3 linked regions of the Xenopus tropicalis genome follow. The protein of the gene in region 3 purifies or fractionates together with the protein of the main gene of each other region. This does not show direct contact. Links are inferred from orthologs where the notes say so. Each region holds a gene or a part of one and is shown on either strand. Other genes may lie near its edges.

Region 1 (7,934 bases), on a different chromosome or scaffold from region 3:
CAGCCAGACATGTTATAATATATTATATATATAATGCACCACACTGAACTGCATCTCCCTGCTCACATACAGGGCAGCTCACAGCTCAGGGTACAGAGCACAGCATGTTCTCACGCTATTTAAAGTATTGCTGAGGTAAGTGCAGAGCATTCCCTGCTGGGGGGGGGGGCTGGTAGCCACGAGCAAAGAAATGCCCCCCTACCCCCCCCCAAGCACTGCTGCCTTCAGAATCCCTGGGGTCACATTTTAACCCCCACATCAGCTGTACAGAAGGAACCTAGGGGTGAACAATACAATGTAATACAGGTATTGGATCTGTGATCTGGAAATCTGTTATCAAGAAAGCTCCGAATTACGTAATGGCCATCTCCCAATTACTCCATGTAATCAAATAGTGTATGGTATATGGTGTATATATAGAGGCAGCACACTGTACCCAGGGGTGTCTGGAGGCTACAGATGAAGACTCTCTGTGCCCCAGGGGGGGGGGGGTAATTCCCAGTCCGGCTCAGCACAAGGGATTCCCAGGCACATTCACTTCACTTGCTCTGGATTCTCTTATTTAACTGGGATTCCCCAGTCCTTCCTCCTCCCACCAACACCTGTCCCCAATAGGGCTCCCTGTCACTCCAACCCGGCTCCCTAGTGTTTGCCGGCTGGGGTGCAAATTAGGGACCAAGTGGCCACCCAGTAATTATAAATGGGAAGGGTGCTCTATTAAAGGCACACAGGGGGGCCCCAGGAAACAATCCTCCGCTATATAAGCATTGGGGGAAATACTGTGCAATAAGCAAGGGCTCAGGATGCCAGGCAAGGCTTTAGGGGTTAATGCTGGGTGCCATCACTAATGATCCCTCGTTAGTAACTGCCGGCAACTGCTGCTTAAATCCGGGGGGGATTAGGGACAGAAACTGAGTCACAGCACAGAGCGAGTAATCACACTAAATTCACTGTACTAGCGAAATGGCCACTCAGCACTTACAGTCCTGTAGCCTCCTCTCTCTTTGTGCCCAGGGTACCCCTGGAACTATAGCGGGGTGACTGTTACCCCAATGTTTCTATATATCTGTAACCTTGTTATGGGCTAAGGGGGCCCAGCCTGAAGGCCAGTTAGGGGGGGATTTGGGGTGAGTGCTTATTTGTGCCCTGGGTACCCCTGGAACTATAGCGGGGTGACTGTTACCCCAATGTTTCTATATATCTGTAACCTTGTTATGGGCTAAGGGGGCCCAGCCTGAAGGCCAGTTAGGGGGGGATTTGGGGTGAGTGCTTATTTGTGCCCTGGGTACCCCTGGAACTATAGCGGGGTGACTGTTACCCCAATGTTTCTATATATCTGTAACCTTGTTATGGGCTAAGGGGGCCCAGCCTGAAGTCCAGTTAGGGGGGGATTTGGGGTGAGTGCTTATTTGTGCCCTGGGTACCCCTGGAACTATAGCGGGGTGACTGTTACCCCAATGTTTCTATATATCTGTAACCTTGTTATGGGCTAAGGGGGCCCAGCCTGAAGGCCAGTTAGGGGGGGATTTGGGGTGAGTGCTTATTTGTGCCCTGGGTACCCCTGGAACTATAGCGGGGTGACTGTTACCCCAATGTTTCTATATATCTGTAACCTTGTTATGGGCTATGGGGGCCCAGCCTGAAGGCCAGTTTTACGGACAAGCAGCGGATAATTCAGAAACCAGTGTAGAGTAAAAGTAAATGGATTTTAGGGAAATGAGTAGGTTTAATGGAGCAGCCTAATTGCTGGACTTGGGGCGAGTGGAGGCAATTTAGAGGGAGTGGTGCCTATTTGCACTAAGTATTAGGCAGGTGTATAAGCCTAAAATAGCGAGACAGCCAGGCCAGCGCTGAGGGGGTTAAGGCTGTGCAGGCAGACTGTTACTGGGAAGCAGCAGACTAATCATACGCACTGTTTATGTTTACACAAAGCCATAAAGCAGCGCTTGTTCTGCTGCAAAGTGCCTAAAGGATTTGCGGTGCCTGCTGCTTCCCCCTAATATAAACCCCACTGAATTCTCTCGGAATCACAGCCGATTGTTCCAGTTACCCACAACTCCCCCGGGGCTGAGCAACAATGTCACTGTCCCAAAATTGACCAGGGCCCCCCCCCATTGTCAGCACAGACATAGGCAGGGGGACACATGACCCAGTCCCACCAATCACAAGTCCAGATAACCGGGCTGTGCATCGCTGTCCTGCTGACGAGAGATCTATATATAATATACTATATCTATTGCACATGTTAAAGGGGCAGTTCAGCTGCAAGTTAACTTTTAATATAAGCAACTTTTCAATTGGTCTTCGCCTTTTTATAGTTTTTAACTTTTAGTCTTCTTCTACCAACTCTTTGCAGCTTTCAAATGGGGGTCACTGACCCCGGCAGCCAAAGACTATTGCTCAGTTACGCTACCATTTTATTGCTTATGTTTTTATTCAGCCCCTCGACTATTCTTATCAGTCACTTTCAAATCACTTCCTGGTTACTAAGGTAAAATGGACCCTAGCAACATTTAGCTGCTGAAATTCCATACTAGAGACCTGCGGAACAAAAAGTAAACAATGAAGACCAATTGCAAATTGTCTCAGAATGTCCTAATTCTAGCAACTTGGTCATCAGTATTTCTTTTATTCTATAGTTTTTGAATTATTAGCCCTCCTTTTTCCTGCTTTCTAATGGGGGTCACTGACCCCGGCAGTGGGAAAACATTTGCTTCATGCGCTTACAATGTTATTGTTACTTTTGTATTCCTTCTATTTATATTCAGTTCCTCTCCTAATCAGATTCCAGTCCCTCATGCAACCCACTGCCTGGTTACTAAGTTAAACAAGACCCTAGCAACCAGAGAGCTGCTGAAATTCCAAACTGGAGAAGCTGCTCCAAATAACTAAATAACTGAAAAACCACAAACAATAAAAAATCAACACCAATTACAAATTGTCTCACAATATCAATGTCTACGTCATACTAAAAGTTATTTCAAGATGAACAACCTGTTTAATTAACCCCCACACCACTGTTGTCCAGGATTTTTTAGTTCAGTTTCCCTGCTTGTGTATAGAAGGGCGACAGCTAACAATGGGGACGGGGGACCCCAGTTATGAAGACAGGGCGACCAAGCTGAGACTGTTTACAGATCATATAAATAATCACTAATAACATTTCATTCCAGAAACTGCCATTAATATAAACATGTCCCCAATATATAGTGAATAAGTCATGCTTTTCCCAAATCGTTAATGTCCCTTTTATTTATTGAGATATAAATGACCTATGACGTATGCTGGAACCAGCCAATCACAGCAGAGGAAATCTGTCAGTGACTCACAGCATGTGTGTGTGCCAGATGTAGCTGGAAAAACAAGATTAGGTTGAGGAACTCACAAATAAATATTTATAAACAGCTGCTAAACTGAACTGGAAGCGCAAGTATCTGAGCAAACACCAACAGAATACTGGATCTCTAATTTATACCTTACTCTTGGCCCCCTAGTATAATGTATATAACATATATATACCCACACACTTAGATATCTATATTAGTAAGTAGTATTACTATAGGGCAGCAATACTCAGAATTGATTGATCACTTCATTCCCTACATCTGTAGCCAAAGATCCAGATAAATGTGGGCTCTAACAGCCTCACTAGCCAAACCTATTTGCCCCTATGCTCTGCTTTACTGCCTCCCCTGGGACCCAAGTGCTGTTCTTATTGCCCTTTCTGCCCCCAGCATGCAATTTCTGCCCCTCCATGGCTCCCAAACAGTGCTCCTCCTGCTTCTGGTCCCCTTTGCGCCTCCAGGGTTTCGCTTTCCGGCAACTCTTTTCCCCACAAGCTGTGAATATTGCCCCCAGGACTATTTATTGCCCCTAGCAATGCGCTTCTGTGCCCATAGGGCTTTGATCAATGCCTTCTCCGTGCCCCCACTGCCCATTCAATGACATTTCTGCCCCAGGTCTGCGCTTACTGCCCCCCTGTGCCCCTCAGGGCGGTGCTGGCTCCCCCGGTCCCACTTCTGACGCAGAGCGGCCACTGGCTCTCACCTTGCTCGGCCTCCACACGTTGGTCGGTACTGAATAAGCCCAAGGGGACCGTGTTCCGTTCTGTGTCGGCGCTCCCACTGTCACTCCGCCGCCGTTCCCAGGTTTCGGCCTCTCGCCACAGCAGCCGGTATTTGTCCTGCGTGTGGGAGCAAGAAACTGCGCATGCCCAGAGCACGGAGATCAGAACAGTACGCATGCGCGCTATACCCCAGAGGCAGAAGCTTCTAGCGAGCGCTCGTCTTCCCTCTACTGGCCCAATGCCGCTTCCGTACCTCGGCCGCCATATTGCTACACCTTGTATTTTGAGGCTGACGCACTGCCGTAATGGTGGTAATGTGACAGGGCAAGTGCTGCGCCTCTGTATGTGTTACCCTACGCAATTACAGTGTCAATAAACATAATTTACAGGTAAAAACGACAGGTGATATTTCTCTTTCCAAATTCCACCCAGAATGCAAGATAACACTGGACAAATAGGAAGATACTGCTATTTGTCTAAGCTTTGTACCAAAACCGACACAAACTAATTTCCTACATTGGGCAGTGTGTACTATACATGTGTTTACAGGGTAACCCTTTTGAAATAAAAAATAACAAAAGTGGTATAAAGGTGATACCTTTATTGGCTAACTAAGATAATCATAGCGCCGGGGGTCGTGTAACTAGACCCCCGGCGCTATGATTATCTTAGCCAATAAAGGTATCACCTTTATACCACTTTTGTTATTTTTTATTTAAAAAGGGTTACCCTGTAAACATTTTTGACTGGCTAACACGGTACATCACCTTTTCCTGCATGTACTATACATAGAATTGGCCCTGTAATAACACAAGCGGTGTGTTCTGTGGTATTATCATGGGCGTAACTATAGAGTAAGCAGACCCTGCGGTTGCAGGGGGCCCTGGAGTGTAGGGGGCCTACAAGAGCCCTAAATAATTCAGCAATTTCAATATATGGCGGTAGAATAGGTCAATTTACTAATATTTTGGGGGCCTCTCAATTGACCAAGTTACATAAAAACCCAATGTAATTGCCAAACAGAGCTTTCTGTAGGCTTCCAGTCAACATAGGGGCTACCAAATTGCCAAATTATAACTCTCATTGGCACCTCCAGGAACTTTTTACATGCTTCTGTTGCTCTCCAAAACGTTTTCTGTTTGAATGTGGCTCACGGGAATGAAAGGTTGGGGATCCCTGCAACAGGGGATGTGAGCTGCCAAGGGCCCTGGCCAGTAAGAGCGCTGGAAGGAGAGGTGAGGCCCAGCTGCAGTGGGCAAATAACCCTTCATTCACTCACAGCCGTCAGGTAACCAAACTAACATTGTCCCTAATAATAATAATGGGGAACATTTATATTATTAGTATAAAAGGAGTTTATTAGCATCCCGCATATAACACATAAATTAACACAAAAAACTGCACTTTCTGTCAATGTCCTAAAATCCAGTCATTGTGAGTGAGGTTATAGTGTTTTCTGCAAAACGTTTCTTTTATAGCAGTTCCTTAGCTTTTGTCTCAGACTTTCCTGCAGTAATTGTGATGGGGGAAACGCAGTGCCCAGGGAATAGACACACAAACAAGGGGGAGCAGAGAGACACGGGTCGGTACTGTGAGCTGGCAGGGACTGTACCTACAGACTATATCACTATTAGCCAATCAGGATGTGAGAAGTTATGTCCGAGGGTCTCACAGGCCCACCCCCCAGTGATAACATTTTCAGATGCAGCCAAACAGTGGCTAAAGAAAGGTATAATGGTGTCGGCAGATAATTGAGATTTGTAGCAGAAACACACTCAGGCTTTCAGGAGCCATAGTTGGCCTCATCGAAGGCTTTCCTTGCCCGTTTCAGCTCCTCGTTCATAGTCAGCAGATCTTTGACTCTGGCAAATTTGCGTGGATCCTTCCTGATCAGGAAAACGATATCCTCCACCTGCACGCGGCCCTGGCGCCCAATGGACATTGCCTTGTGGGTCTAGGGAAAGGAATAATAGGGTGTGAACATGAAGCAAACGGGAGAAACCACCTACCTGCCCATGTAACTGTACTGTTACAGCTGCTGCAGACTGTAACGCCAGCGCAAGTTGTTTTTGTACAATATGGAAAATTCACCCTTAGTCTTTAGCACTGAGCCAAGGGATCTAGGAACCTCATTAAGTCACTCCAGTCTCTAGCTATAAGAAGCCTTAAAACAAAGGGGTGATCAGTCCAATGAAATTACTACACTGTCCTGCCTCCTGGTGGGAGGTGCTGTTATCCGTAAGTACCGTGCACCCAAAGAGTTCAATGAAATTAATATTTATGTTCCAGACCAGTGATCCCCAATCAGTGACTCGGGGGCAACATGTTGCTCCCCAACCCCTTGGATGTTGCTCTCAGTGCCCCCCAAACCAGGTAGTTATTTTTGGATTCCTGACTTGAGGGCAAGTTTTGGTTGAATAAAAAGCTTTCCTTCCAAATAAAGCCCCCTATATGCTGTGCATAGAGGCTGTCTAATAGCCAATCAGAGCCCTTATTTGGCCCCTCCATGAACTTGTATGATGCTTCTGTTGCTCCACAAGCCTTTTTACTGTGGCTCACAAAGTAAGTACCCCCTGTACATGGTTTTTCTCTCTCTAAGGGGCATATTTACTAGGATTGGAGGTAAATATCACCAGTGATGTTGCTTTTAGCAACCAATCAGCAATTAGATTTTAACAATCACCTACAAGTTAGAAACCAAAAGCAAAGATCTGACTGGTTGCTACGGGCAACATCAATGGTGATATTTATCTCCAACCTTAGTTAACATGCCCCTAAATCCTGGCATTTTACGCGTAGAGCTCTGGAAGGGCCAATCTTAGGTCTTTAAGTGTGTTCACTAATAATTTGCAGCATTTGGGCAGAAGGGTGCAGGGGCCACACTGTGGGAAACATGTTCTGTTTACGCACCATCTCAGTAATGAATTCTATCACCAGATCTTCCAGGATATCCACCGACTCTGTATAAGGGTTCTGGTCATCTCCAAATCCATACATCATACAGCGCACTGCGGGAAAGGAGACACATGGCAGTTATTAGAGCCGACAGAAGCAAGGCAGAAGCTGCAGCGCAGAAAAACGTGCACTAAACAAAATCCCAGAATCCATAGAAATCACTCCCTACATTGTATTTCATGTATGTGGGACTAAAGTTCCCATTACTTCTCGCTGTATTTAATGTATTCTGGATGCCACTACTTCTGCCCCCCACTGCATAATGTATTTAGGATCTGGAGTTAAAGGAAAAGTCAACCCAAAATAGCATTTGTTGCCTAATAAAAGAAAACCTAATTCTAAGCAACTTTGCAATATACATTCCTTATAAACTTGTAATGGTTTTTGCGTCATTTGCATATATAATTGCAAACACAAGGCAGCAGCCTGACAGACCTGACTCACCCAACCCCTGAAACAATGTAACACAAGGCAGCAGCCTGACAGACCTGACTCGCTGGGGGAGACTGACCCCTGGAACAGTGTAACACAAGGCAGCAGCCTGACAGACCTGACTCGCTGGGGGAGACTGACCCCTGAAACACTGTAACACAAGGCAGCAGCCTGACAGACCTGACTCGCTGGGGGAGACTGACCCCTGAAACAGTGTAACACAAGGCAGCAGCCTGACAGACCTGACTCGCTGGGGGAGACTGACCCCTGAAACACTGTAACACAAGGCAGCAGCCTGACAGACCTGAATCGCTGGGGGAGACTGACCCCTGAAACAGTGTAACACAAGGCAGCAGCCTGACAGACCTGACTCGCTGGGGGAGACTGACCCCTGAAACAGTGTAACACAAGGCAGCAGCCTGACAGACCTGACTCGCTGGGGGAGACTGACCCCTGAAACACTGTAACACAAGGCAGCAGC
Region 2 (7,743 bases), on a different chromosome or scaffold from region 3:
CCATAGATTCTCTATGGGCTACATGTATGCTACAATGTGCCCTAATTGTTCTCTTCCACTGGCACAATAGGGAGCTTATCACACAGCTCTGCTTTTACACCTAGATATAACTACAGTTCCCTTTCTGGTGTGCTAAGGTTACAGTACTGCAAGCTGAAATGGCTGGCTAATGTTGGCAATGTTTTGGGGTTATGTAATACAACAACTTTCAAAGGCATATCTTCTATTTTTAGAGGTGTATATTGCAGTGGCAAATACTTGCTCTTGATACTATGTCCCCTTTTACACTGCTGCCAGCACCTGTTGCAAAAAAAGCTTCTAATTGCCAGGAATGTAACTGTTTTATTCTTCAGTAGTTTCAGGTCTTTTGGTTGCAAAAAAAAATTGATACCAAACACATCATAATTACTCATGCTTCTTGGATATTGAAATTCAGCACCCTGCACTGATGGATATTAACATCAAATATCAATATATAAACCAAGGAGTGCGATTTAGGACCCCAGCATCAAATGGGGGGAAAAAAAATAAATTATATAACACTCAAAGGATAAAATGAAAAATAACCTTTATTAATCCATCATCTAAAATATACAAACCCTGTGCTTCATACACTATTTTTCATTTTATCCTTGGAGTGTTATATGTACACTTTAAGCCAAAAAGCACTTATACCTGCACTGCCTGAAATTTCATTATCAAGTGAAGAGGAGAGACCACAGGTGCTTCTTAAGACAAAAGAATGGCATGGGAAAAAAAAAATCACTGGAGCTTATTTATAAACACTGGGCTAATTTTCACTTCAGCAGCAACCAAAAAGTTATTAGCTTTTTTCAGCCAGTTGCAGGTATAACAATGAAGGCACACATCTGATTGATTTCCATAGGTTCAGGTAGCCAAACACATGCTAATGATAGCTTCTTATTGGCCCATGTATGGAGCCGACAGATGTGCCAGCCAGATATGTATTGGACAGGTTAGGTTTTATCCACCAAACGAGGACTGTATGGCACATTGATGCAGATAAATTCAAAACTCACCAGCACACCCTATTCTTTCAAATAAATTCCGCCTGGTGGTCAGTATATAAGGAGGGATCGGCAGCCCCACTAAACCTTAGAACAGTGATCCCCAACCAGTGGCTCGTGAGAAAAATGTTGCTCGCTAACCCCTTGGATGTTGCTCCCAGAGCCTTCTGTAGGCTTCCAGCCAACATAGGGGCAATTAAATAGCCAATCATAGCTCTCATTGGCACCTCATGCCTGTGTTGCTCTCCAAAACTTTTTCTATTTTAATGTGGCTCACGGGTATAAAAGGTTGGGGATCCTTGCCTTAGAATAAGCAATTTACTGGCACAACAAGGCTATAACAACATTTATTCAGTGCAAGCCATGTAATGTTTCAGGGCATGTCAGACATGTCTGATGAAGAGGCGTGCCCCAAACTTTACATGGCGTGCATTGAATAAACAATTTTCCCGCTTGTAATAGCCTTGTTATGCCAGTAAATTGCTTATTCTAACGTTGATGCAATCTTCATCTGACTGGTCTGTAGGCTTCTCCATATGTGGGCAACAATTGGATCAGCCTGATTAGGCCCTGTACACAATTGCCCAGATCTGCTTATGTGGCAACCTTGCCAAAACAAGTGGCTCTCCTAGTGTATGGCCAGCTTTACTGCCAAGCGCAGCAATTTGCCCAGTGTTTATAAATGATTCTCACAGGGAATACACAGATACTGGGATAACAGTGCTCTGCCTGAAGAAAAAGAAAACTATATTTTTACTTAAATATATTACTGAAACAATGCTTGCACTTGGGTAAGCACTGGGTAAACTCAGTCAGTGCTGCATTATTTACATCTGCACTATTATTGGAGGAACGTGCATCTTGAGCATGCAGGGAGGCTGTTAATTTTATGCATTCATAATTATAAAATATTAGGTACCTACTTTAACTTAAAGACTTTTAAAGGGAAGGGGGGTCAGTGATTGCACAATTTGCCACTTGAACCTGCCCCCAAATCCACACTAAGAACGGCCTTGTCACTCGTAAGACTGGGTAAAATGTCATGAGAACTGGACCTGATCGGCTAATGGACAGCTGCTGTGTTGACTTTAGTAATAATAATTAAAATAGAGTCTTCTATTAAAAAAAAAAATTCAATATTTTTATTTTTGCTGGAAAAAAAAAAAGTTAAAAAGGCTTGGCAGCCAATATTATTTGTTCTTGACTAAACAACCAAGTCAGTTTGTTTGATAAGGGCATTCTATATGGATTTTTAACACAAATCTTTAAATGCCAGACATCTGTGAACAGGAAGCTGAATGAGTGTTTCATGTCGTCAGCTAACGATTCTGCTGGAAAAGAAAGAGTTGCAAATTACTCATCAAGGGTTTCTGTTAGAAATGCAGTTTTATTTCATAGTAAAATCCCAACACAGTTTTAATTGCAAAAGAAACACTCTTATTTATGCACCTCCTATGCCCTTTACACAACAGTATTTGCAAGACATAATAAGAGGCATGTAAAAATAAGTAGTTACTTGGAATCATCTGGGCCATGGCCACAGATGTAAAAATGTATCTTATTTATATCAGATGTATTTTATATCAAAGGCTTTAAAATGTTAATATCAAAGATACATTTATTTTTTTTTTACATTGGTGGCCATGGTGGACTCATTGGGTGCCCATCTTTCTGTAGCTGATGGTTTTCCACTTCCCTATGCAGAGGGTCTGATGCTGATGCACCTGGACTGCAGTTTGAATCTGGAGAGTTTCTACCTAATATCCTGGTGCCCTGGTTTCCTTGTACAGTAAAATGGGCATTATCCAGACTTGGGCAAACCAAGTGTATATCCATAACAGGAGGTACTAGGTGTCGGAACCCCACACACTCCCTACACTAGGTACCTCCTACAGCTGGCTGCACTAAACATGGGACTGATGGTAGTCTGATCCCCATGTACAGCTGGTTTATGCAGACTTAGCCACACTCCTACCACTATTACTCTTTGTATATTATTATAGTCTGGCACATGAGTCCAGGGAGGAATGCCTACTCTGTGCACTATAACAAAACAGGTGCATGCAATGCCATCACAAGTCAGAGAGACCAGATGAGCAAGCAGCCTGCAAGTTACATTCTGTAATACTGTCCATGAGGAGCCACTTTTACATCATGGGCCTCCAGCTAGACATCTCCTTAACACTATTTAAATATTTTACCTATATACATGTTCCTTAAAGAGGACACAAAAAACTTATGGCACCCATTTAAAATATGATGCTGTTACCTGCTTCATTATTTCATCTCTTGTAGTAAAATGTGGAGCATCTTCTACTACAATGCCTTCTGCCATACTAAAGACTTTTTCCAAAAGTTCATTGCTGTAACTGAGAAAACAAAAAGAATATATAATTGTTCAGCATGTAATGCCTAAACTGTGATCAGTGATTTCAGAGCTTGTGTATAATAGCTTTATTACCATCAACATATTACTTTACAAAGATGATGCATCAGGCGTCTGGCATGCCCTTTTGTGACATCATTGCGGGGGCATGGGCGGGTCTATAAATAAAGGGAGGAGGTCAGTTGGGGTTGAGTATTTCTGTGCATCACTAGTGGGCATATTGGGAGAAGATCCCCTAGTTTGGTGACTTTGACAAACGATCAGATCTTAATGTGTTTGGACCCCTTAAGGCAGTGTTTGTTTATCCTTTCTGTTTCCTGGGTCTGACTCCTGAAATAGAATAACCCCTCTTTTAAAGGAACAGTAACACCAAAAAATTAAAGTGTATAAAAGTAACTAAAATATAATGTGCTGCTGCCCTGCTACTGGTAAAAGTTGTGTGTTTACTTCAGAAAGTCTACTATAATTTATATAAATAAGCTGCTATGTAGCCATGGGGGCAGCCATTAAAATGAGAAAAGGCACAGGCTCATAGCAGATAAAACACTTTTGTATTCTACAGAACTTATCTGTTATCTGCTATGTAACCTGTGCCTTTTCTCCATCTTGAATGGCTGCCCCCATGGCTACACAGCAGCTTATTATATAAATTATAGTAGTGTTACTGTAGCAAACACCCCAGTTTTACCAGTGCAGGGCAATAGTGCATTATAATTTTATTACTTTAAAGCTCTTTTATTTTTTTGGTGTTACTGTTCCTTTAATCAGCTGGCTCACAGCATTGTTTCAGGAGTCAGATCCAGGAATGCAGTGAATGTAAACAGCCAATTAAGTCCTGCTTTTTTTTGCACGTTACTTTATCACCAGCGGGGAAAAAAGTAGACATATATATTGGAAAGTTACTTAGAATCGTATTTCCAGAGCTGTCGACCAACTCCATATCATAAAAGAGACAATGATCCAGTCTTGGATTTTTTATGTCTAAATTCTACTTTACACTTCAAATAATAACATGAAATAAAGTCTCAAAATGGCCTGGAGTGGATCACAATCTTCCTCATGACCTAGGGCTGCTTGGCAGCTCTGCATTTCATTTCACCATGCAAAACCACATTTTGGGGGTGAAGATCCTAGCTGCTGCAGAAATGACAGCAAATGCAATGTAAATAATGCAGTAGCAAAATGGGTGCGTGGGTGTCTACATTCACTTTAAAAACACAAAGCAATGTACATGTTCGTATAACTGCTTGGAGCAATAATGCAAGCACAGAGAGTGTATAGCTCAGTACAATAACACTACATTACCGGCAGCCCATGAACACGTGATTAGCCCAAACCATGGATAAAGCCAGCAGCCGATCTAGAGCGCTCTCATCCTCGAAATGCTTCAGGTTTCTAATAATAAATTCTTCTCTCGCCTGCCATTGCTTATCGCTTTCAGAAAAGCTTTGAAATTGCCCGACAAATTCTGCCGCCATATTGTGTACGGAAATAAGATACTCAGCAAAACATACGAACTTCCTTTGTCTGGCGAGCAGGCATGGGTCACTTCCGGTATCAGCTCTATGGTGTTTGGAGCGGCTCAGGAGCACTTCCACGTAGTGACGTAGTGCTAGGGAAACGAACAACTAGTGCGAGGGGACGTAATGACGTAATGCTGAGGGAATGAATATCAATACGGGGCGCGATAAAATCGCTCGCCACATGCTTTGGGTGTACGTCTATAACAATAAAATTCGATTTAAGGAAGCCTAGTGTTTTCTGGGTTGGGCGGGAATCTATGTGCCTTGGGAGGGGGTTGAGCCCTAAAGTTACGAAGGGCGGGGATAGTCATCGTGATATAGTGATGTCATGTGAGTCAGTGATGGGGAGTGCCGTGAGGTACTGGGGACAAGGCAGGGTTACTGTGCCGTTATATGTTGGGGTATGGCAGTGGTTAATGGGATACGCTAAGGCCTTTTGTCTTAATATACTGGAGGGATTTCTGTCATGTTGGGCCATGAGATGTGGGGGTAACTGTTATTCCCTGCAGGGAGATGCTTCCATTTAATGCCAATCATGTGGCAGAGGAACAATTTACTTTTCTGGGGGAGTAGGGGGCGTCACTATGCCATTTTATGATACTGATAAAGGTGCCTGTGCCAATTCATGTTGTTCCACATATGCCAGTCTGTTGTTATGGTCACTAGTGTGCCATTCTATACTGGGAGTGATGGGACCATTTCATGCTTGTTACCCCTATACCTTTCTGTTTAGGTGTCACTTGGCTTACATACATCTGTAGGGACCCATAGGGTTAATCTGCCCCTATCTCTTCCTTATTTCTGCTGTTACTGGGCAAAGACCCATGTATCAGTTTATAGTTATACCTTATACCTATTGGTTATTTGGGTTGACCACACCTCTTGCAAACTCATATAGTGTTTAGCAGGAGGGTGTGTCTCTTTGGCTGCCTCTGTGTCTCAGGAACAGGTCACTGAGCCTGGGAGCAGGACAAGGCCCCAGTAAAGCCATTTGCCCCAGAGTTAACATCCACTCTGGTGAAGTTGGGGACAGGGCCCCGTGAATGAGGATTAGTCAGAATAGCAAAACTGTAAGAGCACTCTCTAGGAGAGAGAGATAGCTAGAACTAGATAGCAAGGGAAGGTCAGGCCCAAACCAGAAGTTCAGAAAGGAAGTACCCTTCCATCCGGCAATGTTGCCTTAGCTTAGGGCCACGGATAAGTGACAGGATACAGGTGCAAACCCTGATCCATACCTGGCCGTAGGACCCACACAAGTTAAAGGTTATCAACATTAGGATTGGAGTAACTATACAGACTGCCTTCCAAAGTGGTGCCAAGCTGACAGGTGTTTTACCCTGCCCAGTCTCCCAAAAGAGGTGGCATAAACCGTTGTTATCCTCAGTGGGTTCTGCTATATCTGCCTGTATGTGAGTACATAGCTATAAGCCTGCATTTCAATTGTCTTTGACAATAAACTTGTGCTATAGTTCAACTGCAAGAACCTTCTGGCGTCCATCTTTGTTAAATTGCACTGCACACAGCTACAGTGAGTTGTAGTTTTCCTACAGCCTTGCTTCGCATGGACTCTTCCACATAGCCAAGGCCCATCCTGTCCAGAGAGTCGCATGTACCCCATGCTCTAACCTTACACTAGCCTGGGTTTTGTCTTTTTTATAGCTAAATAGGGGTTACACATCCTTCTAGGTTACTGATGCCAAAATGAAGCAGCACACCAGAACTGACCTGCTACTTTCTTTTGTCAGTCCTAGTAATTTTAGCCACCCAGTCTGGGCCTCGTCTCTTTTTTATTTCAATAAATTTTTATTTATTAATGTAGTAAGTTATGTTGAAAATAAACATAGGTCCATCAAGTTCAACCATAATGCCTATATATAAGCCTATATATAAACTGCTTAACTTATACTTAATCCAGAGGAAGGCAAAACCCCCCATCTGAAGCCACAGAGGGGGAACAATTCCTTCCTGACTCCAAGATGGCAATCAGACCAGCCCCTGGATTAATTTGTACTAAGAGCTATCTGTAATAACCCTGTATTCCCTCACTTGCTAATAATCCATCCAACCTCTTCTAAAAGCTATATAATGTATCAGCCAGTACTAATGGTTCAGGGATGGAATCCCACAACTTCACAGCTCTCACAGTAAAAAATCCTTTCCAAATATTTAAATGGAACCTCCCTTCTTCTAAACGGAGTGGGTGCCCTCGTGTCCGTTTACTGGTAAATAAAACATTAGAAAGGTTATTATATGATCCCCTTATATATTTATACATAGTTATCATGTCACCTCTTAAGCGCCTCTTCCCCAGTGTAAACAAACCCAACTTGGCCAGTCTTTCTTCATAACTGAGATTTTCTATATCCTTTACCAGCTTAGTTGCCCTTCTCTGGACCCTCTCTAACTCAATAATGTCCCGTTTGAGCACTGGAGACCAAAACTGAACAGCATATTCTAGATGGGGCCTTACCAGCGCTCTGTAAAGGGGAAGAATAACCCCCTCCTGTGAATCTATGCCAGTTTTAATACAGCTCAAAACCTTGTTTGCCCTTGCAGCTGCTGCCTTGCATTGCTTGCTACAGCCAAGTTTATTATCTACAAGGTCTCCAAGTAGGGTTGCCACCTCTGCTGGCTAAGAAAGCCAGGCAGGGGGCGGGTGACGTTTGTACAGAGTCATGGATCGCTCATCCATCTCCTTCCCACTCAAAGGTTTAATTTTCTGGGAACAATCCTCAGTTCCAAATTGTACTTTCATATCAGTTAACTTTGATGTTTGACTACTGTTCCCTTTCCAGATGTTCCTTTT
Region 3 (7,273 bases):
ATATTTAACCCTCAAACCTGAGTTGATGTAAGTGTGCCACATTATCTGATCTGAATGGAGCATCTGTTTAGCAATTCGGCTTCTTTGATCTGGATGCTGCAAAATCGTACTTTAAAAATAAAAAATGTGCAGGTGTCCTATTTAGATGGGAATCATGGTCTAATTGTGTATGTATTTGTAATGTTTATTTTCAGATGTGTTTGAATCAACTGGTAAAGCAAATATGTGAATGCATTAGCACATTGTCATTTATATGCTTAATGCTTATATTGGCTGTCCATTTTCAAGATAATTATTTGAGAAATAATAAAAATATTCATGTTCACAACAGTAGTAATTACTTGACCAGAAGAAAATGCATATATTTTTTTTAATGCATTATATTTATAACTAAATTTTCAACAGTCCTGCAGTCCTGAAAGGATATCTAGTGAAATCTACTCTTAATAGCTTGAGTTTGCCTTCCTGAAATTATGAAGCTAGACCATATTGAGTTTTGTACTGTTTAATCTTAAGGTTCAGTCTTGTTCAATGTGTTTTTTTGATCACATATTCTAATATAAGGATGGCAAACCACAAACCCTTGCAGAAGAGTGTTGCCATCTTTGTTTCTTTCTGAGTGAGACCGCGAGAAGGGACTATCTGTATTGGATATGTTGCCTATGATTTAGCCAAAGGCTAAATCTAGATTCCAAAGGTTCTGTTTTAGTGATCTGTTTAGTCAGTATCTGTTTAGTCATCTGTGCTTTCTGCTACTGTTTCTTGCCTAAGCCAAAAGGGTCATGCCAACATGTTGCGTCTAGAACAGATAGCTACTAGCCATGGATAATTTCCAGGGCTGTGGAGTCGGAGTCGGGGGCAATTTTGGGTACCTGGAGTCGGCAAAAAATGAACCGACTCCTACTAAATTTAAATGGGAATAAAAAAAAAATAAAGCAAGTTTAAATGTCCCAATTCACAAACAGTCATAATTAATTACTTCTCTGCTATAAGAATAAAGCCCAATGCACGCAGTGCATAAACGAACACGTTGAGTGACCATGAAGCATGCTTTTCATTGACTGTATGAATGTATAAAATACATTAGCATATTAAAAACAGAGGAGGTGGAGTCGGACGTATCAGAAACTGAGGAGTCGGAGAATTTATCTACTGACTCCACAGCCCTGATAATTTCTTCACCTGTCTAGCTTACTGATGGCTGGTGGTGACAACCAAAGCCCCCATTCAGTTAGAAATAAGTTGGCGGCTGAACTAGGCCTTAGATACATGGGGCAATAAGAATCTCCTCTACTAACAAGTTGTACTTCCTACACTTGGGTAGTGTAAGCACGGTTGGACAGAAGGGATGCAGTGTATCCAGTGTTGGATTTGGTTAAATACCTATGCTTGCACCAAAGATTTGGATGAATACTATCCCAAACCCTAATTTGCATTTTTAAATTTAAGAATTTCCATCATCAAAAAAAAACAAACTTGTCACCTTCAGTGTCCAGTGCTTTTTAGGCAAATATATTTTAGGGTTTGGCTTTAGTTAGGCAAAAACTAAAGGACTTAAATCCTTCAAAAATTGCTGGCGCTAAGTCTTAGATTGAATGAATCAGAAAGTGTAAATGTAATTTTATTATATTGATGGTATTCAAGGGCCCTAATAAATGAAACATTAATTATATTTCATAATGGATAAAAGTTTAGTGGTTTACCCATTGTTCTAATACAGTTCAGTACATTATAAGTAAATGGTTTAAATTGTGTACTGCAATGTCAAGTAGGTTAATTGATTTACAAATTGTTTTTTTTCTGTTTTTCTTAAACAGTGCAGATGCAGTTATTTTGAAGCTGATATTAATGCTTTCATTTTTTTGTGTTTTTTGTTTCAGATTATGGGAAGAAGGCTGGAAACAGCGCTACTACAAAAACAAGTTTGATGTTGATGCAAGTGATGAAAAGTTTCGCCGCAAAGTAGTACAGTCGTATGTTGAAGGCCTTTGCTGGGTTCTGAGATATTATTACCAGGTACTTAGTTGTTCTTCTGCTGCTTCCTTCTTCACAGCAAAGAAGCTGTGAAGAAGCAAAGAAAACCGCACTAGTGCAACAATTTGTGGAGAAAGCCTATGTGCAGCCATTAGCCCCATTGCAGAGTGATACTGCTGTGGTTGAGCCATAGAACATTTTATTTTGCTTGTGAAAGTGATTTAACTGATTCAGCTGTAAAGGGAAACTGCATAATCTGTCTTGAGAAAAATGTAATGCACTAATAGCAACGGGAAAGTATTTTGTCGTTTTGTAGCACCAAGGTTAATGCCAACAGCAGGTTCTATATGCTGTAGATCAGTGCTGTCAAACTGGCGGCTGCGGCCCGCGACCCCCCTCTGTGTGGCCCCCCCCTGTCTGGCTGCTTTGATGGCTTACTCTTGTGTAAGCTTTAAATGCTATCAGTACTGTGATTAACTGGCCCCCTGCATGGTTCTCACCTCAGATTCAGGCTGTAATCAGGCTGTATTGTTTAAATATGTAATCCCCTGTGTTGTTCACACCTTTTAATCTCTGCATTGTTCACCCCCTGCAGTGTTCACACCTCAGGATCAGGCTGTAATCACCCATATTGTTCCCCTGTTCACACCTCAGGAGCAGTAGAAACCCACAAATAATCCCTGCACACTACAAAAAGAACATATACTGAGGTAGTACTGCAATTAAAAAGTTTTTTAATATATAGTTATTGTGCAGACTGTAGGAGCAGTGCCAGCATTGTGTCACTGTAGGCTGTCTGTGTGTGCCATACACACAGGCATCATAGGGCAAGCAGAGTATGGCACACACAGGCAGGGTAGGGAAGGCAGAGTATGGCACACAGGCCAAGTATGGCACAAACCAGCCAAGAATGGCAAACACAGTGAAAGTATGGCACACACAGGCAGGGTAGGGAAGGCAGAGTATGGCACACACAGGCAGGGTAGGGCAGGCAGAGTATGGCAGGTTTTTGCTGTACTACAACCATTAATATGGGTATGGTCATGTGATAACATGGGTGTGGTTTCAAGTGGGTGTGGTTTCAAAAGGGGAGTAGTCAAAACTGGCTTCCATTATCGGCCCTCCACCACGTAGGTCGGAAAAATTCCGGCCCTCAGTACCACAGAAGTTGGACAGCACTGCTGTAGATCAAACATGATTCAAAGTTCTACATAATGATTCTGGATTTGCTCTCCTACCTTTAACATCTAGGTAGACATTAACAAAATATTACCCTGCCCAATATTTCAAAGTGTTTTGTGTGTGGATTGGTCCTGCCTTATGCTGTTTGAATTGCTTAAATTTGCTACTCTACTTTGAGGAGGCAACCAACTGGTTTGAACCAATAACCTGCATACTCTGGCTTAGATTAAGATTTGATGTAGTAGTCTGACTTTTGGTTAACTGTGGCTTCACTATATCATACAGTAATACATTTTGTGCTGGACAAATCATCTTAAAATAATCTTGTTTTTTCCCATTAATTCCCTTTCATTTTTAATCTTTTGTTAATAGGGCTGTGCTTCTTGGAAGTGGTTCTTTCCATTTCATTATGCTCCTTTTGCCTCTGACTTCGAAAACATTTCATGCCTTTTCAAAGAGTTTGAAAAGGGCACAAAACCGGTAAGTGAGCCATGTTTTAAATTACTTCACCCTCCTTGCTAATTCTGCCTGAGTCATCTATTTTGTTCTCCATACTGTTGTACTATATAAAGAAAGATATAGATACATAATCATTTACTATTATACATCACCTCAGTGACGACTTCAAATATTTCTGTAAGGAGGTTTGAATTCACTGGCCCTTATATCATTGGGGACATAGTGCACCAAAAGCCGCCAGACATGACAAAGTTAAAAAAAAAAAAAAAAAATTCACCTAATAGCAGCAGTACTGGTTGTACAGCAGCAAGTGTAACAAGTGATTATGGTTTTTTATTGTCCTCAGACCATTTGTTTGATTTGTGGTCCCTGCCAATAAAATTTAGTTGGGTACTGATGATGCTATTGATACTTTCCAAATAATGCTGCATTCATGAACAGCATTTTTTTTTTCTTTTCAGTTTAAACCACTTGAACAACTTATGGGAGTGTTTCCAGCAGCTAGTGGTAACTTTCTACCAGAGTCATGGAGAAGGCTTATGAATGATCCCGTAAGCATTCTACTCTATTTAAATGTTCGATGTGTTACTCTGTAAAAGACGGCTCCACCAAAAAAATGATTTTTGCATATTGTTGGCAACCCTCAAAGATGCGTTCATGAATAATATATGGTGCTGGTTTCACATTGGGCTAGAGATTCCTATCTGTAAAAATGGCCCTATAGATCTGCTATGGTCCCTGTCTGAGTTTTAAAGAATAAGTAAACCTCTTTTTTTTTCTATGAGTAAAACTACTCTAAACAGCCTCCAGAATTACTTACCTTTTGTCCCAGCATGCTCTCTGACCTGTTTCCTCAGTCAGAAGGTATTCTTTTTGGCTGCTTCCTTGTGCAGAGTGAAGCCCCACCTCCACTTCCTGTTCAGTTCTCTTTTCAATTCGACAAGGTTGTCGGAGTGGAGAGCCTTCTGCGCATGCCTGGAGGCAGCAGGAGCCAGTCTGTGCATTAGCTGTTTTTTTTTGGGTTTTTTTTTTTTGATGAGAGACCTGAACAGGAAGTGGGGGCGGGGCTTCACTCTGCACAAGGAAGCAACGAATACCTTCTGACTGAGGAAACAGGTCAGAGAGAATGCTGGGACAAAGGTAAGTAATTCTGGGGGCTGTTTAGAGTAATTTTACTCATAGAATAAAAAAAGTTTACTTATTCTTTAAATAAGGTGTGGGTGTGTCCTGACAATGCCTGTCTGAAGCACAGTAGGGGGAATAGCCAATCACAGCCCTGCAGTCACACAAGCAAAGACAGGCTACAAGTTCCTTATCAGGTCAGCCTAGCTGCTGATTGGTTCCTATCCTACAGTGCTGAGTGCCTTCCCAACCAGCTGGGCTCATGTTAAAGTGCATACAGATTGTACCTGATTCCACTGTTTGAATTAAACCATGTAAGTTCATGTAATTCAAGACTCAAATCAGTCCTTTCCCGACCCCAGAGTCTGTCAGCCATTCCCCCCTCCTTACCTTTTTTCCATGTGACAGAAATTACTGTTTATAAGGATATAATTTACAGGATATTCATGGCTCTTTTATGTTAAATAGTGATAATTCAGAAAACCTTGTTAGCTGCTTTGTTTTCCCGTGTCAGTTGTTAGAATTTGTTTTTACCACATTATAACTGTAATCGGTAATTAATTTCAGACTTTCTTGTGCTGAGCCTCCTGTAATTTTTGGTATGAATTGAATTTTACAGTATAACTAAAGTGTGTTTGCGTCCGATGCTGTCATAGATTATAAAAATTTAGCTTTTGTAAGATTCATGGATCTCTACACACATGTAGTAGATAAATACCTTTTTGATATAAAATAGGACTGCTGCCACAGCAATTGTTTTATCTGTAGATGCTGGACAGAGCGATAGTATTTAGAGGGGTTGTATGCTCTGCTGTGGTTCCAAGACAGCAATGGAGTGTACTTTCCCCAGTCTGACCCGCATCCAACCCAAAACCCCATTGGTCGCTCAAATTTCAACCCAAACCCGCTCCCATTGCTTTCACAAGTTTCAGGTCAACCCACACATTACTACAGAGGAGTGTACTTCCCCTGTGTGACCTGCAACCAACCCAAACTAGCAATGGTTTCAACACAAATCCACCCAACCCACAGGTTCCATAAGTGTCTGGTCAACCTGCATGTTGCTCAGTACTGATTTACTTTGATTGTACAGGCAGGAAGTAGAATGTGACTTGACCTTCAGTTTGAGATTTGTTTACAGCAAGAAATTTCTTGAAGAAAAAAAAAAAGGCCAAACCTATATGTTCAGGGCAAAACGTGCTTATTAAATTAAGTGTTGAAGAGGAGCTATAATGCCCATGTAGAATATATAGCTTTTATTTGCTTTTAAATATGCCAATAGCTATTCAGTTGAATTGTTAACTATGTCCCTTTTTAACTTTGATTTCCATTTAATTTATTAATGCAGGATTCCAGCATAATTGATTTCTATCCAGATGACTTTGCTATTGATTTAAATGGAAAGAAGTTTGCTTGGCAAGGTAATTAAGAAATACAATTTGTCTAATGTTAAATTTAAAATTTCTTGTCCATTCTTATAGAATTTAGCCTAGATAAAATGAAGGGTAGGGTTCAGGTTGGAAGCGGGCGGGTTAGGGTCAGGTACAGGTATTTCTCGACCTGCACATAGTAAATTCATAGTAAATTCATAGTAAGTTGGGTTGAAAAAAGACATACGTCCATCAAGTTCAACCATAATGCCTATATATAACCTGCCTAACTACTAGTTGATCCAGAGGAAGGCAAAAACACCCCATCTGAAGCCTCTCTAATTTGCCACAGAGGGGAAAAAATTCCTTCCTGACTCCAAGATGGCAATCGGACCAGTCCCTGGTTCAACTAGTACTAAGAGCTATCTCCCATAACCCTGTATTCCCTCACTTGCTAAGAATCCATCCAGCCCCTTCTTAAAGTTATATAATGTATCAGCCAGCACGACTGATTCGGGGAGGGAATTCCAGAACCTCACAGCTCTCACTGTAAAAAATCCTTTCCGAATGTTTAAATGGAACCTCCCTTCTTCTAAACGGAGTGGGTGCCCTCGTGTCCGTTGGAAGGACCTACTGGTAAATAAAACATTAGAAAGGTTATTATATGATCCCTTTATATATTTATACATAGTTATCATGTCACCTCTTAAGCGCCTCTTCTCCAGTGTAAACAGACCCAACTTGGCCAGTCTTTCTTCATAACTGAGACTTTCCATACCCTTTACCAGCTTAGTTGCCCTTCTCTGGACCCTCTCTAACTCAGTAATGTCCCGTTTGAGCACTGGAGACCAAAACTGAACAGCATATTCTAGATGGGGCCTTACCAGCGCTCTGTAAAGGGGAAGAATAACCCCCTCCTCCCGTGAATCTATACCCCTTTTAATACAGCTCAAAACCTTGTTTGCCCTTGCAGCTGCTGCTTGGCATTGCTTGCTACAGCCAAGTTTATTATCTACAAGGACTCCAAGGTCCTTCTCCATTATGGATTTGCCTAGTGCAGTCCCATTAAGGGTATACGGGGCTTGCATGTTTTTACATCCCAGGTGCATGACCTTACATTTATCCACATTAAATCTCATCTGCCACTTAGCTGCCCAGATTGCCAG

Evidence for each region.
Region 1: the proteins of xrn2 (region 3) and kpna1 purify together in Homo sapiens (affinity purification with mass spectrometry; 4 studies listed by BioGRID and IntAct, with this or other methods). This does not show direct contact. The link is inferred for Xenopus tropicalis from reciprocal best matches to the Homo sapiens genes XRN2 and KPNA1.
Region 2: the proteins of xrn2 (region 3) and cdkn2aipnl purify together in Homo sapiens (co-immunoprecipitation; 6 studies listed by BioGRID and IntAct, with this or other methods). This does not show direct contact. The link is inferred for Xenopus tropicalis from reciprocal best matches to the Homo sapiens genes XRN2 and CDKN2AIPNL.

The regions. Positions count from the first base shown.
Region 1 is NC_030678.2:3,377,538-3,385,471, reverse strand, and holds the start of kpna1 (importin subunit alpha-5), read right to left. Parts: upstream 4,182-7,934; 5' UTR 4,048-4,181; intron 1-4,047. Other genes in the region: taf13 (transcription initiation factor TFIID subunit 13), read right to left, coding at 5,850-6,020, 6,977-7,074. UniProt on the Homo sapiens protein: Functions in nuclear protein import as an adapter protein for nuclear receptor KPNB1. Binds specifically and directly to substrates containing either a simple or bipartite NLS motif.
Region 2 is NC_030679.2:26,509,262-26,517,004, reverse strand, and holds cdkn2aipnl (CDKN2AIP N-terminal-like protein), read right to left. Parts: upstream 4,947-7,743; 5' UTR 4,893-4,946; coding exon 4,720-4,892; intron 3,398-4,719; coding exon 3,298-3,397; intron 2,360-3,297; coding exon of another isoform or gene 2,357-2,359; coding exon 2,348-2,356; 3' UTR 2,151-2,347; downstream 1-2,150.
Region 3 is NC_030681.2:36,280,843-36,288,115, reverse strand, and holds part of xrn2 (5'-3' exoribonuclease 2), read left to right. Parts: intron 1-1,880; coding exon 1,881-2,016; intron 2,017-3,528; coding exon 3,529-3,636; intron 3,637-4,076; coding exon 4,077-4,166; intron 4,167-6,085; coding exon 6,086-6,158; intron 6,159-7,273. UniProt on the Homo sapiens protein: Possesses 5'->3' exoribonuclease activity. May promote the termination of transcription by RNA polymerase II.